Danio rerio: one gene and its partner. The protein of the gene in region 1 interacts with the protein of each later gene in a pairwise test. Links are inferred from orthologs where the notes say so. Each region holds a gene or a part of one and is shown on either strand. Other genes may lie near its edges.

Region 1 (6,240 bases):
AAAAACTCACTCCAAAAGAAATGTAATGTGTGTTTGTAATCTATATGCTCTGCCCTAAAGCTAAAGTAATTAAAATAGTATATGCATGCGTTAATGAAGTCCCTTTTGATCTTATATAGTATAGAAATGCCTAGATGCTATCTGATGTGCGTTTAGAGTGTCGTGTTTAGTAGCATTACGTTTCTCCTGCTATTTTACAACCATATGACAATAACTTTTACAGCTTGCATTCTTTAATGCTCAGAGGTAAGGTCCAGCTGTATGCTCAGGGACGACCCTCATTATGCATATCAACGGTCAAACGCTCAAATCCTTGCCCTGAAACCACTGGTCACTCAGTAGAAAATAGGTGTGACTTGACCCATAGTTAAAACCCATTTTCTCCCAGACATTGGAGCAGAAGGGTTTAGGAGTCTTTAACAGTTGTGTGGAACTGAACTAGATTTGCCATTCTTTTATCTAAACTCTTTATTTGCTCGCTTGCTTCTTTTATATGTTTTTGTTGTTATGTTTTGTACGTTTGTTTTGATATGTTAGACTAGTCAATAAATCAGGCTATAACCATGTTGTCTTTGTTTTGCCTCACAGAAAAGGTCAATTTAACGACAGAGCGTTTGCTACAAGCTTTACTAAAACAAGTTTACAGTTTACCAAAACGTCTAAACTATTCATCTACATCACATGTAGCAGGGCTGGAGTGGGACTCCTTTTCAGCCCTGGAGTTTCAAGCAGACCGGCCCACCTCAGTTCACGACTGACTATATTAATATAAGGTCATTTCCAATTCAGTTTCTAATTATGCTATCATGTCTTTTTCAAGAAAACAGCTGCTTTAGAACTTTAAATGTTCAACAACCGTACAGTTTGATATGTCTCAACAATAAAAATGAAAAAAAAAAAAAAAAAAAAAAAAAAAATAATAATAATAATTTAGCCGGAATAATAATTACATCATCATTACATGCAGGCTGCATTTTGCTCATGGGGCTGTGAGACAATAAATAACCGGAGCTGCGGCAAAATAATGAATAAAAAGAGTGAGGCTTTGTTCAATAAATATATAAATGAAAAAAAAAGTGCAACTGCTGAGAGTGCAAGCAGCTAGAAACACCAGCCCTCGCGGCCAAAAAACGGACCGGCCCACCGGAAACTCTCCCGGTCCTCCTGATTGGCCAATCCGGCCCTGACAAATACTTATAATTCCCTTTCTAAATAAATAAATAATTACAGTCTGCTCAGACGAGCGGGCAAAATCATTGTTATATTTATTTAGTCAAATTAACTATAAGTTAATTCAGAATATTAATAAACATTATTATTGATCTTTAATATTCACTATATACACTAATTATTTTTTTAAATACTGTTTTAGTATGCGAATTAGGACGCAGCATTTGTTTATCCTCCTACACAAATCAATGGTAACAGGTTTTCAGCATTCTCCTAAATATTTTCTTTCGTGTTCAACAGAGTAAAGAAAGTCAAAGGTTAGGAAACACTCGAGGGAGAGTATATAATGATTGATTACAATTTTTGCATGAACTAAACCTTTAAAAAAAACTAGCATTTGTCAGCCGATATTGATATGGCCACAGACATATCGTGCATCCTAAAGTGTATATTTGCGCATTTACCCCTAAAGTCTCTGTGCAGCAGGTGTCTCCAGAGTGAAGCATCATGGGTGGCGGTGTTCAGGTGCCGACACACAGCCGACAGCGAGACGAGAGATCGAACGTCCAGCAGACGCAGCAAACGCAGCAGCAGCTCAGGAGGAAGAACAGGCAGACCGAAGAGCAGAGGCAGACCCAGAGCTATACACACATGCACAAAGACATTTATTAAACACTTTGACAAACCCGTGTGAACAGTACATGCACACAAAGCACTCTGACACACACGTGTGAACAGTAAACACACACTCACCCTGTCTGGCAGTGGCCATGAGCGGATACACCAGCTGATCTCTGACCAGGCGAGAGAGTCTGCGCAGATCTCTGTAGACCACACCTGAGCTGCCGCCTGCACACACACATGGCAGGTCATTCAGTCCATAATCCTGCTGTGCTTTTACAGATGATTAATGCGTGTGTGTGTGTGTGTGTGTGTGTGTGTGTGTGTGTGTGTGTGTGTGTGTGTGTGTGTGTGTGAGCTTCACCTGTCCACTCAGCTGTCACATACTCGTCAGGTTTGAGCAGCAGTTTGCGGGAATTCTCCAAACTCGTCTCCATCTTCAGGACGGCTGATCAAAAGCAAAAACAAGATTGTTTTATTCCCCCATCGGCAGATTATTCTGCTTGTTTTAAAGAAATTTTCACTCATTACTTCAGAAAACACCACTATATTTTTGGCTTGTCTAGAAAATGCTTCTTGATTTAAGAATTTCGACATCTCTGGACTAGAAACGAGACAACAAAATCTAGGAAAAGCATTTTTACAGGATAAAAAACATTAAATAAAAGAAATCTTAGCTGTAAAAACTAAGTCACTTCACTGTTCTAATGTCGACTGTCATGTAATGATGTGCACCCTTTGTAAAGCTGCTTTGGAATGATAATAATAGTAAAAAACACTTTACAAATACACTTAAATTGAACATATCAGTGTTACATACGGTGTATATTACCATTTATGACCAGAGTTTGAACCATGGGCACGGCCACCACCGACACCAGGCTGTTCTCCAGCAGAGGGTGGACATACTGGATTCTAAACACACCCCCTGCGGCCTGCCAGCCAATCGGCATCTCCCCTGAGCTCACGGCTCCGCCCTGAAGCGAGAAGGAGAGAGTAAATACAGAGGACATTTTCATTCTTGGGTGAACTTTCCCTTTAGGATAGAAAGAACATAGCCCAGGTGAAGTGGATATCACCTGTGGGATGAAGCCGGTCTCCAGCAGCAGCAGGTGTAGCGCCAGCATTAGGCAGTCGGAGGGGCTTCTGCAGGTGGAGGAGTCTAGCAGCCGCTCCAGAGCGAGAGGGAGGAGACCGTCTTCAGCCTCACAGCAGAGCAGGGGAGGAGCCGCAGCACACACACACTCCTGCTGCTGCTGCTGCTGATCCATACAGTCCTGCTGAAGATCCACACACTCCTGCTGCTGATCCACACGCTCCAGCAGATCCTGATCCACACACTCCTGCACATGCTGCTCCATCACACTGCTGCTACTGCTGACATGTGATCCACCAGCCTGAACACATACACACACACACACACACACACACACACACACACACACACACACACACACACACGCCAAGTCATGGCTTCAGTCCGTTTGTCTTTTTGTTTTTATTTTCATGGCTTGTAAGATAACCCCAGCAGTGCAGTTTCAGAATTATAAGGGGAACCAACAGTTTTAACCCAAAAATGAAAAGTCTGTCTGATGAAGAAGAACCGGAGTTAGAGATTCAGTTAAAAAGAAAGTTTGCTGAAGATAGTTTGTAGTTTCATCAGCAGAAGCCAACTTCAACACTCACTTAGAGTTCGTAGGCCACTCTGTACACAAAATGCTACACAGGGACTCAAAGAAATCGTCTCCCACCTCAGGGGCACCACCACAGCCACCACAGTGTAAACACAATATGATTTTGCTGTTGACATTATTAAAGTACTTAAATAGATAAATAAATAAATAAATAAATAGCAGCCACTAAATTATTGTGGATTGATTGGTGCCACTGGCGTAGCAGATTCACTGCTATTCCCCCTCTCGATCTTCATTGACAGCCCGCACACACCTTCAATAGTCAGCAATGGCAATTTCATATTTAACTTAAGGTACATCAATAGAGGAAGCTGTATTAATAATATTGTGGCTCAAAAAGGAATATGGATAAATGATATTATTAATCTGTATAGTGGGTGTGTGTGTATGTAGTAATGTCTTTTGTTCAGTTTGTTCATCATTTGTTTGTTTTATTAAATTATTCATTAATTTTAGACATGGCATATACTGTACAATAAAAGACTGTAAAAAATAACTGAAAAGTTTTATATATATATAAATATTGACTTTTATTTGGTTTGTGCATGTACTTGCTGAATTATTTCAAGAAATAAATTGCAATATTTCAAGAATAATTAATTAAAATGAATTAAAACCACATTATTTCATTTACCAGAAACATAAATACAACATTACACTGATTTTTTGTGTGTGTGCCACCCCAAGATTCAGCATGGCCTCTTCTGGCAAATCCTAAGATGTTCTGGGGATGCCACTGTCCCACCTGGGTTCAAAGTTCACCTAAAGAAGGTGGAGGGCAGAAACAAAGAGAATGCTGATATGACATATCTAGCTTCATCTTGTACAGCAGACGAAAAATAAAAATGAACTGATATAAATCAGAAGGCCAAACTAGATATGATCTGTGATTTGGCAGAAGGATTACAAGCGATGATCAGTGGAATGACTTGGCCAGGATTAATGGATGAAGATTCATCAAGCAAACAAGACCCAAAACTAGGGAAAATAAGGACATTATTTTGCTAGAGAAAGCTCACCAGAGGTAAGAGGACAGCAGAAGATAACAAAGGCAAAAAAGAAACATGAGACCCCGCTGCCGAATGAGTCTCCAGTGAGCCAAGCTCTGAAACTAACTGCTGTGCTGAAGAGGAGCACTCAGTCCGTAAATAAGTGATGCTGGGGATGAGTACAAAAATAAGATAATCTCAGGGGGTCAGTGAGTTAAGCAACAGGGCTCCGTACCTGTTAACATAAACAACATTCTCCCCAGGGGCATCGGTTACAGACAAAACTCACGAATGATCAGAATAGGTGAACTGTACAAAGCTGATGACGAATTAAGGCAATGATCATACCAAGAAGAAGATAAGGCTGCAGCTAGGGACAATACTAGGTAAAGCCCTTCAAGATGAGGGGCGGAAAGGGCTGAAACAATAAAATAAATAGGAGTTTACCCATACTGCTTAGACAGACGGGAGACTGAATTCAGTGTATGCACAGATAAGGGAAGTTCAAGAGGTGACAGATTTAGTGCCTGGATTATCAGACTAAAACTTTTAGGGCCGCAAACATCATGGGGGAAATGAACTTTGCCATTAGATGAGAAAGAAAAAAAAAGATAATTACTGAAAAACTGCAAAGACTAATAGCTGAATATAAAACACCAGAGCCAAAAGCCTCAGGTCACAAGGAAGAATAAAAGTAAATACAAATAAACGGATTTCAAACAAAAATCTGGAGAGAATGACTCTGTCTCTAAAGAGGAATGGGCAAAACTGACCCCAGAACAGAGACTAGAAATCATAGACAAGAGAAACTCAAAGAAAGAGTCTAAAACTAAAGCAGTTAAAAGCAACAAGAACGTTGTTAACAGTAACAGAGTCACCCAAATCTCAAGAGGACTAGGGGTGCCTGCCTCCAAGTAAAACAACCTTAATATATTATGATGGAATAATCTTTAACTGGTGGTAATTCACTTGCCTAAAAAAGCCAAAGAAACTTAAACAGCTTTCAATATTAAAGACTTCAGAGGTTATGTAGAAAAGGAAAACGTTTACAGATCACAAAAGGTGTTAGTAAACTGAAAGCTGCCAGCACAATATTAAAAAGTAGAGAAATAGGCTGGTTATTGATTAAAAAGTAAACCAGGAGGAGGAACTAAAGAGAATGGCCGAAACAATTAAAGCCAACACTAATAAAGTCAGAGAGAACTTAGGAGAAAAAATATAAATCAAGCACATAGTAGAAAATGACTGCAAAAAATTTTCATAAATAGGAATGTGATCAAACTGTGCCATTGCACCACCCCACTATAGACAATACCCTATTAATAAAAGGGAAAGAAAACAAATACAGGAATTAAAGCTGAAAGATAAATAGAGGAACTTGATAATGCACCAACAAAATTCCTTATACAAGTGTTTGCAAAACCAGATGGAGGGTGGAGGTTGGTAACAAAATAAACCAACAATACTAGATACAAGATACCCGATTAATGCAAGAGATGCTCCAGGAGCAGCCCCAGAAGAAAAATATTATCAAAAATATTTGGATTTTGTGCCTGAGAGGCAACCTCGCATTTACATTTGTTAATAAGCGGTATAATTAATTTTCGATTTTCGAACTCTCCAAATGCTTTTCAAGCTATAATGATGGAGGTTCTTAAAGGGCGACCTATTGTGATTTATAAAGATGACAGTCTTATAGTCACAAAGAATGAATAGAAACACCTCAAAATATTACAAGTACACAAAAGTACTTGAGCACTCTATTG
Region 2 (6,661 bases), on another chromosome or scaffold:
TAATGACATCATCTGATTAATATTTAATTATCCATGTGAGCAAAATTACATCAAATTAGCAGTAAATGGCTTGTTGAATATGAAACGCAATAACCTTCCACATTTGTTGTGAGCTGCAGGCTTTACACTTTCATGTGTCAAGAGTATTCTTCATGTATTTCAATGCAAATCAATGTATTTAGTTCTACATTTAGAAAAGATTTTCTTTATTATAGTAGCCGTTTTTTTAATCGGTGTAAAGAATAACTGGATGTTTACAAAAGCATTTTGACATTGGTAAAGGCGTCTGCAACTTTTGTGAAGCATCAAATCACTGGCATAACTATCAAAACATGTTTATGACTGCATTAATGTATTACTGCTTTAAAAAAAACTCCATTGTACTAAAGCGATCTAAAAAGTTTAATCAATAAGTTTTCACTTCACACCACCAGGGGGCAGTCTTTGAACTTTCATTTTGAGGGTGCAGATTGCATAAGTTTTATTAATATATATAACTATATTTATTTTATTAATAACTATAACTTATATATATAATATATATATATATATATAGTTAAAATATTTACCATTTTCCCAAGTGTATACAACTACTACTGTAAGAAAATATCAGAATTCGGAACATACTTTATTATCTTTGCTTGAACTGAGCCGGTTCTAATCCTGTTTATATGAATTGAACCTGCCCCCGATCAGGTTTGACCTAGCAGAACTGTTGCTTTGACAACAACTCTTGGATCAGCTTTAAAGAACGAAACGATCCTGGATGTTGTCAAATCGTCAATATCCAAATCCAGCTAACTGAGTAATCCACGTACGAAGAATGGACCCCTGCCCTGTCTTCATGTTTCAGTTGAGATCAAACATCGAATTAAAAAAACTTACATTTCAAAGGACTTCATGGGAAATATAAATGCAAGTCTTTACTTTCATACGTTTGTGAAAATAAAATATTTTTGGCAATGTATAAAGGTTCAAAATGACTCGAGAATGTTAGAGTCATCAAATGATTCTCGTTCTAAGTTTGAGTTTTTTTCAGTATATTTCTTCAGATACTTTCTACCGTTCTATGATTCATGATGTGAGACAGTATATGGCACATTCATTCATTTTCTTTTCGGATTAGTCCCTTCATTAAACAGGGATCGCCACAGCGGAATGAACTGCCAACTTATCCAGCATATGTTTTACGCAACGGATGCCCTTCCAGCCACAACCCAACACTGGGAAACACCCATACTCTCTCATTCACAGACATACACTACAGCCAATTTAGCTTATTCAATAAACCTATTGTGCATGTCTTTGGACTGTGGGGGAAACCGGAGCACCTGGAAACCCACACGAACATGGGGAGAACATGCTAACTCCACACTGAAAATGCTAACTGACCTAGCCGGGGCTCGAACCTGCGACCTTCTTGCTGTAAGGTGACAGTGCTAATCACTGAGCCACCGTATCTGTACGGCTTCTATCATCGCAAATTTATTGGTATGTGATTTCCACCACTATGGATCTTTCTAACATAACTTTTAAAAAATTGTAATATTTAAAACTATAAATAATGACTTTTTCAAAGGCATTTACATTTCAATTGTTGTGATTCTGCAACTGTAATTTTATAAATCTAAAGTTGCACCATTTTGCACAAAACAATTAATCTGCATTGAGTTGTTAAAATGCAATGCATTACACAATAAAGACAGTTTGTGGCATTTTATCTGGCCTGAAAGCTGAAAATGAATCCGAAAATGCTAAATTCACAAACCTTTCAAATGTGTGCAGATTGGCCTCGTCAACATACTCGCTCAGGTTCACTGTGAGATCAGTCACTTTTTCTGTCGTGGAATCCTGCAAAAAAAAAAAAAGAAGTAAAACACTGACTGTCATCTAAAGAAATGCATTGCAGTTATGATTGAATTGCAACTTTATTACCATTAAATTGAAGATCAGGCTTGAATCCACAGTGAAGGCTTTGAGCAGTAGGTTGGATTTGTCATCATTTGATCTGTATCTGAGCGCATAAAGCTCTTTGCTTTCATTCCAGCCTGAAGGAAGCAATTCTGTCTTCTTCTCTCCATCTTTAGGCTGTGTAAAGTTCATCATGTATATAATGCGTCAAACGTTTATGAGTTTGCTCAAAAATCAAACTAGTCAAGTATGTAATTATGCCTGTTGGCTCTGTATTTGTTCAAAAGATACATGTTTTATATGAGTTATACACAGCTGCTTGGTCATTGAAGTAAAGTTGGTTTTAAATTTGCACAATGATTCAGTTACAACTTGTGACATGCCTCCCTATAATATTATTTACCTTGGTACTTTCAATATTCGTTCTAAAATCACATGTACACTCACCGGCCACTTTATTAGGTACACCTTACTAGTACCAGATTGGACATCTTAATCCTTCGTGGCATAGATTCAACAAGGTACTTGAAATATTTCTCAGAGATTTTGCTCCATATTGACATGATAGCATCACGCAGTTGCTGCAGATTTGTCGGCTGCACATCCATCACATCCCAAAAGGTGCTATATTGGATTGAGTTCTGGTGACTGTGGAGACCATTTGAGTACAGTGAACTCATTGTCATGTTCATGAAACCATGAGATGATTCGTGCTTTATGACATGGTGCGGTATCCTGCTGGAAGTAGCCATCAGAAGATGGGTACACTGTAGTCATAAAGGGATGTACATGGTCAGCAACAATACGCAGGTAGGCTGTGGTGTTGACACGATGCTCAATTGGTACTAATAGGCCCAAAGTGTGCCAAGAAAATAACCTTCACACTATTACACCACCACCACCAGCCTGAATCATTGATACAAGGCAGGATGGATTCATGCTTTTATGTTGTTGACACCGAATTCTGACCCTACCATCCAAATGTTGGAGCAGAAATCGAGACTCATCAGACCAGGCAACATTTTTCCAATTTTCTGTTGACCAATTTTGGTGAGCCTGTGTCAGTTTTAGCCTCAGATTCCTGTTCTGAGCTTACAGGAGTGCCACCCTGTGCGGTCTTCTGCTGCTGTAGCCCATCCACCTCAAGGTTGGACGTGTTGTGCATTCAGGGATGCTCTTCTGCATAACTCGGTTGTAACGAGTGGTTATTTGACTTACTGTTGCCTTTCTATCTGCTCGAAAAAGTCATGCCATTCTCCTTCAACCTCTGAACAGCCGCTTGTTTTGATTTCTCCCACAGAACTGCCGCTCACTGGATATTTTCGCTTTTTAAGATTATTCTCTGTAAACCCTCGAGATTGTTGTGTGTGAAAATCCCTATACATTAGCAGTTTCTGAAATACTAACAACCATGCCACGTTCAAAGTCACTTAAATCATCTTTCTTTCCCATTCTGATGCTCGGTTTGAACTGCAGCAGATCGTCTTGACCATGTCTACATGCCTAAATGCATTGAGTTGCTGCCATTTGATTGGCTTAATAGAAATTTGCGTTAACCAGCAATTGGAGATGTGTACCTAATAAAGTGGCCGGTGAGTGTAAGTGTGACTTAAAACAACATTAGCACTATTCATTGGACTGCGAACAATGTTGTACTTTGATATATAGGACTTCACTATTTACAATTTGCACAGAATACTTTTCTGTGCCAAATGTACATCAATGGCTATGTTTTGTAACAGATTAAATAAAGTACGTTTATACGATTAAAATCAACGTTCACTTACCTCATCTCCAATGCCCATACATTTATAGCCACTTTTCACTATTTCCCAGTGTACAAAACAAATCAGAGCATCCTGAGAACACGTTAAAGAGTTTGATACGCAGTTAAAGAGCAGCTCCAGTCCTGCCATCTTTAAACACACTCAAATTCTCTAGAAATGAAACCAAAACAAACAGCTCTCTGAGTGAAAATAAAGCGCGACTTTACTCAGGATGCATGGCGTGTTCAAGCTGCTGATGCGGCAATAACTAATATTCAAATAAATATTAATGCTTGTTCGTTTTGAATGAAATATAGGTTAATTTAGAAGTTAAGACGACAAATGTTTAACGTTATTTATATTTTTGTTGGTCATGGTGAAGCGGTCCGACGAGAAATATTCCCGACTGGAAACAATAGACTGAACTTTCATTCCGCTGAAGATTATAATGAAGATAGCTCATTCGTTTATTTTCCTTCGGCTTAGTCCCTTCAGTAATCAGAGGTCGCCACAGCGGAATGAACCGCCAACTTAACTAGCATATGTTTTACATAGCGAATGCACTTCCAAGTGCAAATTCAATACTGGGAAACATCCATGCAGACTCATGCACACACAAACACTAACGTTACTGTTCTATAGGGTATATGCCGAGCTTGTGTTTTCCCATACTGATTAACTTACAGTGACCTGTTATTGTGAACTTGTTTCCGTTTTATATGGTTCCTTTTACAGTATTGATGTTGTAATGTCATTAAAATACATTCAGTTCAATAAAATTTGACATTTATTTAGTAGTTCAAGCGTAAAACGAGACAAAAAGCCGATTACTCGCAAGCGCCCGTCAGAATCGGCAGACTAGCGCAGAAACTCCATTGAATATACTGGGGTAAAACAAATGTTCATATTATAAAGACATGGCGGGGGAACATGCAATTTAATGCAGTGCTTCTTGTACAATCTGAGACCCACTTTAAATCGGATATAATTCTGCTAGTAAAGATCGCTGATTTTTAAAGGAAACAGACCTTAAACGCACCGATTTTGCATTGGCATTCAATTGGCCGGAAGCGCTTAACCCAGGTTAATGGCAAATTAAAAGTCATATTTGCATGCTTTGGCATATACCCTATTTCACCTGTACCACATGTATTTGGAGCACCCGGTGAAAACCCACGCCAACGGAACATGCCAACTCCATACAGAAATGCCAACCATTCCAGCTGGGGCTCGAACCGACCTTGTTGTGAGGCGACAGTGCTAACCACTAAGCTACCGTAACGCTTTTAAGGTAAGTAGTTTTTGATATTTCCCAACATGTATAACATAGCAGCTGTTGTTAATGAGCCTATATAAATTTTAGTCAGTGGATTTGATAGATTATTTGAAATGTTTGAAATAGTGGGCGTTTTATGTCGTAATGTGAACACAGCATTTATTTATGAATATGTATTTATTTATTTCGCCATATATCTCCATATATTAGGGCCTACATAACTTTTTAAAGTTATAGGCTATAATTAATTTTCTTAGTCAAAACCATATTCCTTCTGAAAATGGACATACAAGTGTTACTTTTTATTTATTGTAATGTTTGTTTAGCGAACCGACCATTTAACTACAGTTTTAGTATAGTATGGGGCTAAATACCTCCGTAGACTACAGCGAATAGTCCGGACTGCTGAACGTATCACTGGCACTACCCTACCTACACTTCAAGAACTGTACTCTTCCAGAGTGAGTAAACGGGCTCGCAAAATCACTCTGGATGCCTCGCACCCAGCACACTACCTGTTTGAACTATTACCGTCTGGTCTGCGCTTCAGAGCACCAAGCACAAAAATAAGTAGACACAGGAAAAGTTTCTTTCCTCAGGCCATCTACCTTATGAACAGTTAAATATTCCCCAACTGTGCAGTCAGGGGCGGACTGGGACTAAAAATCAGCCCTGGCACTGTAGCCACACCAGCCCACATTACCACACTGACACAGCCCCATGCACGGACACGCACATTCACTACTTATATTGGTGTCCTGATGGTAAAATAATATAAGCAGTACCATATATGTAATAGATATTTAAACATTTAATGTATGTGACTGGAACAAAAACGAATTTATATACAATCGTTTCATTCATTCATTATCATTTCAGCTTAGTCCCTTTATTAATCTGGATCACCACAGCGAAATGAACCGCCAACTTGTTCAGCATATGTTTTACGCAGCAGATGCCCTCCAAATTGCAACCCACTGTGAAACCTCTATACACACACATTCAAATACATGCACTATGGACAATTAAGCCTACCCAATTCACCTACAGCACATGTGTTTGGACTTGTGAGGGAAACCAGGAGGAAACCCATGCGAACATGCAAACTCTACACAGAAACACCAACTAACCCAGCCGAGGCTCGAAAAAGCAACCTTCTTGCACCCCTGCGCTGCCCTCTTTCAAGACTATTTCAGTTAATTTTAGGCATTTGGCAGTGTTTTAATTTTTTAATTTTTATTATTTAATTTTTTTTGCTTTCTCTGAGCTTTTCGGCACCGCCTTTCCTTTTTTATGGTCCATTTCTGACAGTTAGCTTGTGTTGCACTTACTATTTGTTTGACATTCTTGCCAGATTTTGATTACGTCCACGTAACCTCTAATTGGCTCTGGCCATCTTAAAACCAGCCGGTCATTGCCAATTGGGCCAATGCTTAACATTTATTATTATTATTATTACTATTATCATCATCATCATCATCATCATCATCATAATACTCACATCTTGCAAGAGATAAAAGCTGCTTGCATGTAAAAGCAATACATATAAAAAAAATTAATAAAATAATAGCTGACCGGCCCACATTTAAAAAATGGTTTGGCCCTTCTGGCATTTGCCAGAATTGCCAGATGGCCAGTCCGCCCCTGTGTGCAATAAATATGTGCAATACTTTCTCATACGCATTTGTACACAGCACCGGATAACCTG

The links. The genes of interacting proteins can lie anywhere in the genome.
Region 2: the proteins of fbxo7 (region 1) and psmf1 interact in binary tests that used the Homo sapiens proteins (3 or more experiments, as listed by UniProt). The link is inferred for Danio rerio from reciprocal best matches to the Homo sapiens genes FBXO7 and PSMF1.

The regions. Positions count from the first base shown.
Region 1 is NC_133179.1:946,139-952,378, reverse strand, and holds part of fbxo7 (F-box only protein 7), read right to left. Parts: intron 3,189-6,240; coding exon 2,871-3,188; intron 2,769-2,870; coding exon 2,624-2,768; intron 2,240-2,623; coding exon 2,156-2,239; intron 2,020-2,155; coding exon 1,924-2,019; intron 1,812-1,923; coding exon 1,635-1,811; intron 1-1,634. UniProt on the Homo sapiens protein: Substrate recognition component of a SCF (SKP1-CUL1-F-box protein) E3 ubiquitin-protein ligase complex which mediates the ubiquitination and subsequent proteasomal degradation of target proteins and plays a role in several biological processes such as cell cycle, cell proliferation, or maintenance of chromosome stability.
Region 2 is NC_133181.1:54,456,455-54,463,115, forward strand, and holds the start of psmf1 (proteasome inhibitor PI31 subunit), read right to left. Parts: upstream 4,159-6,661; 5' UTR 3,828-4,158; coding exon 3,699-3,827; intron 2,089-3,698; coding exon 1,936-2,088; intron 1,852-1,935; coding exon 1,769-1,851; intron 1-1,768. UniProt on the Homo sapiens protein: Plays an important role in control of proteasome function. Inhibits the hydrolysis of protein and peptide substrates by the 20S proteasome. Also inhibits the activation of the proteasome by the proteasome regulatory proteins PA700 and PA28.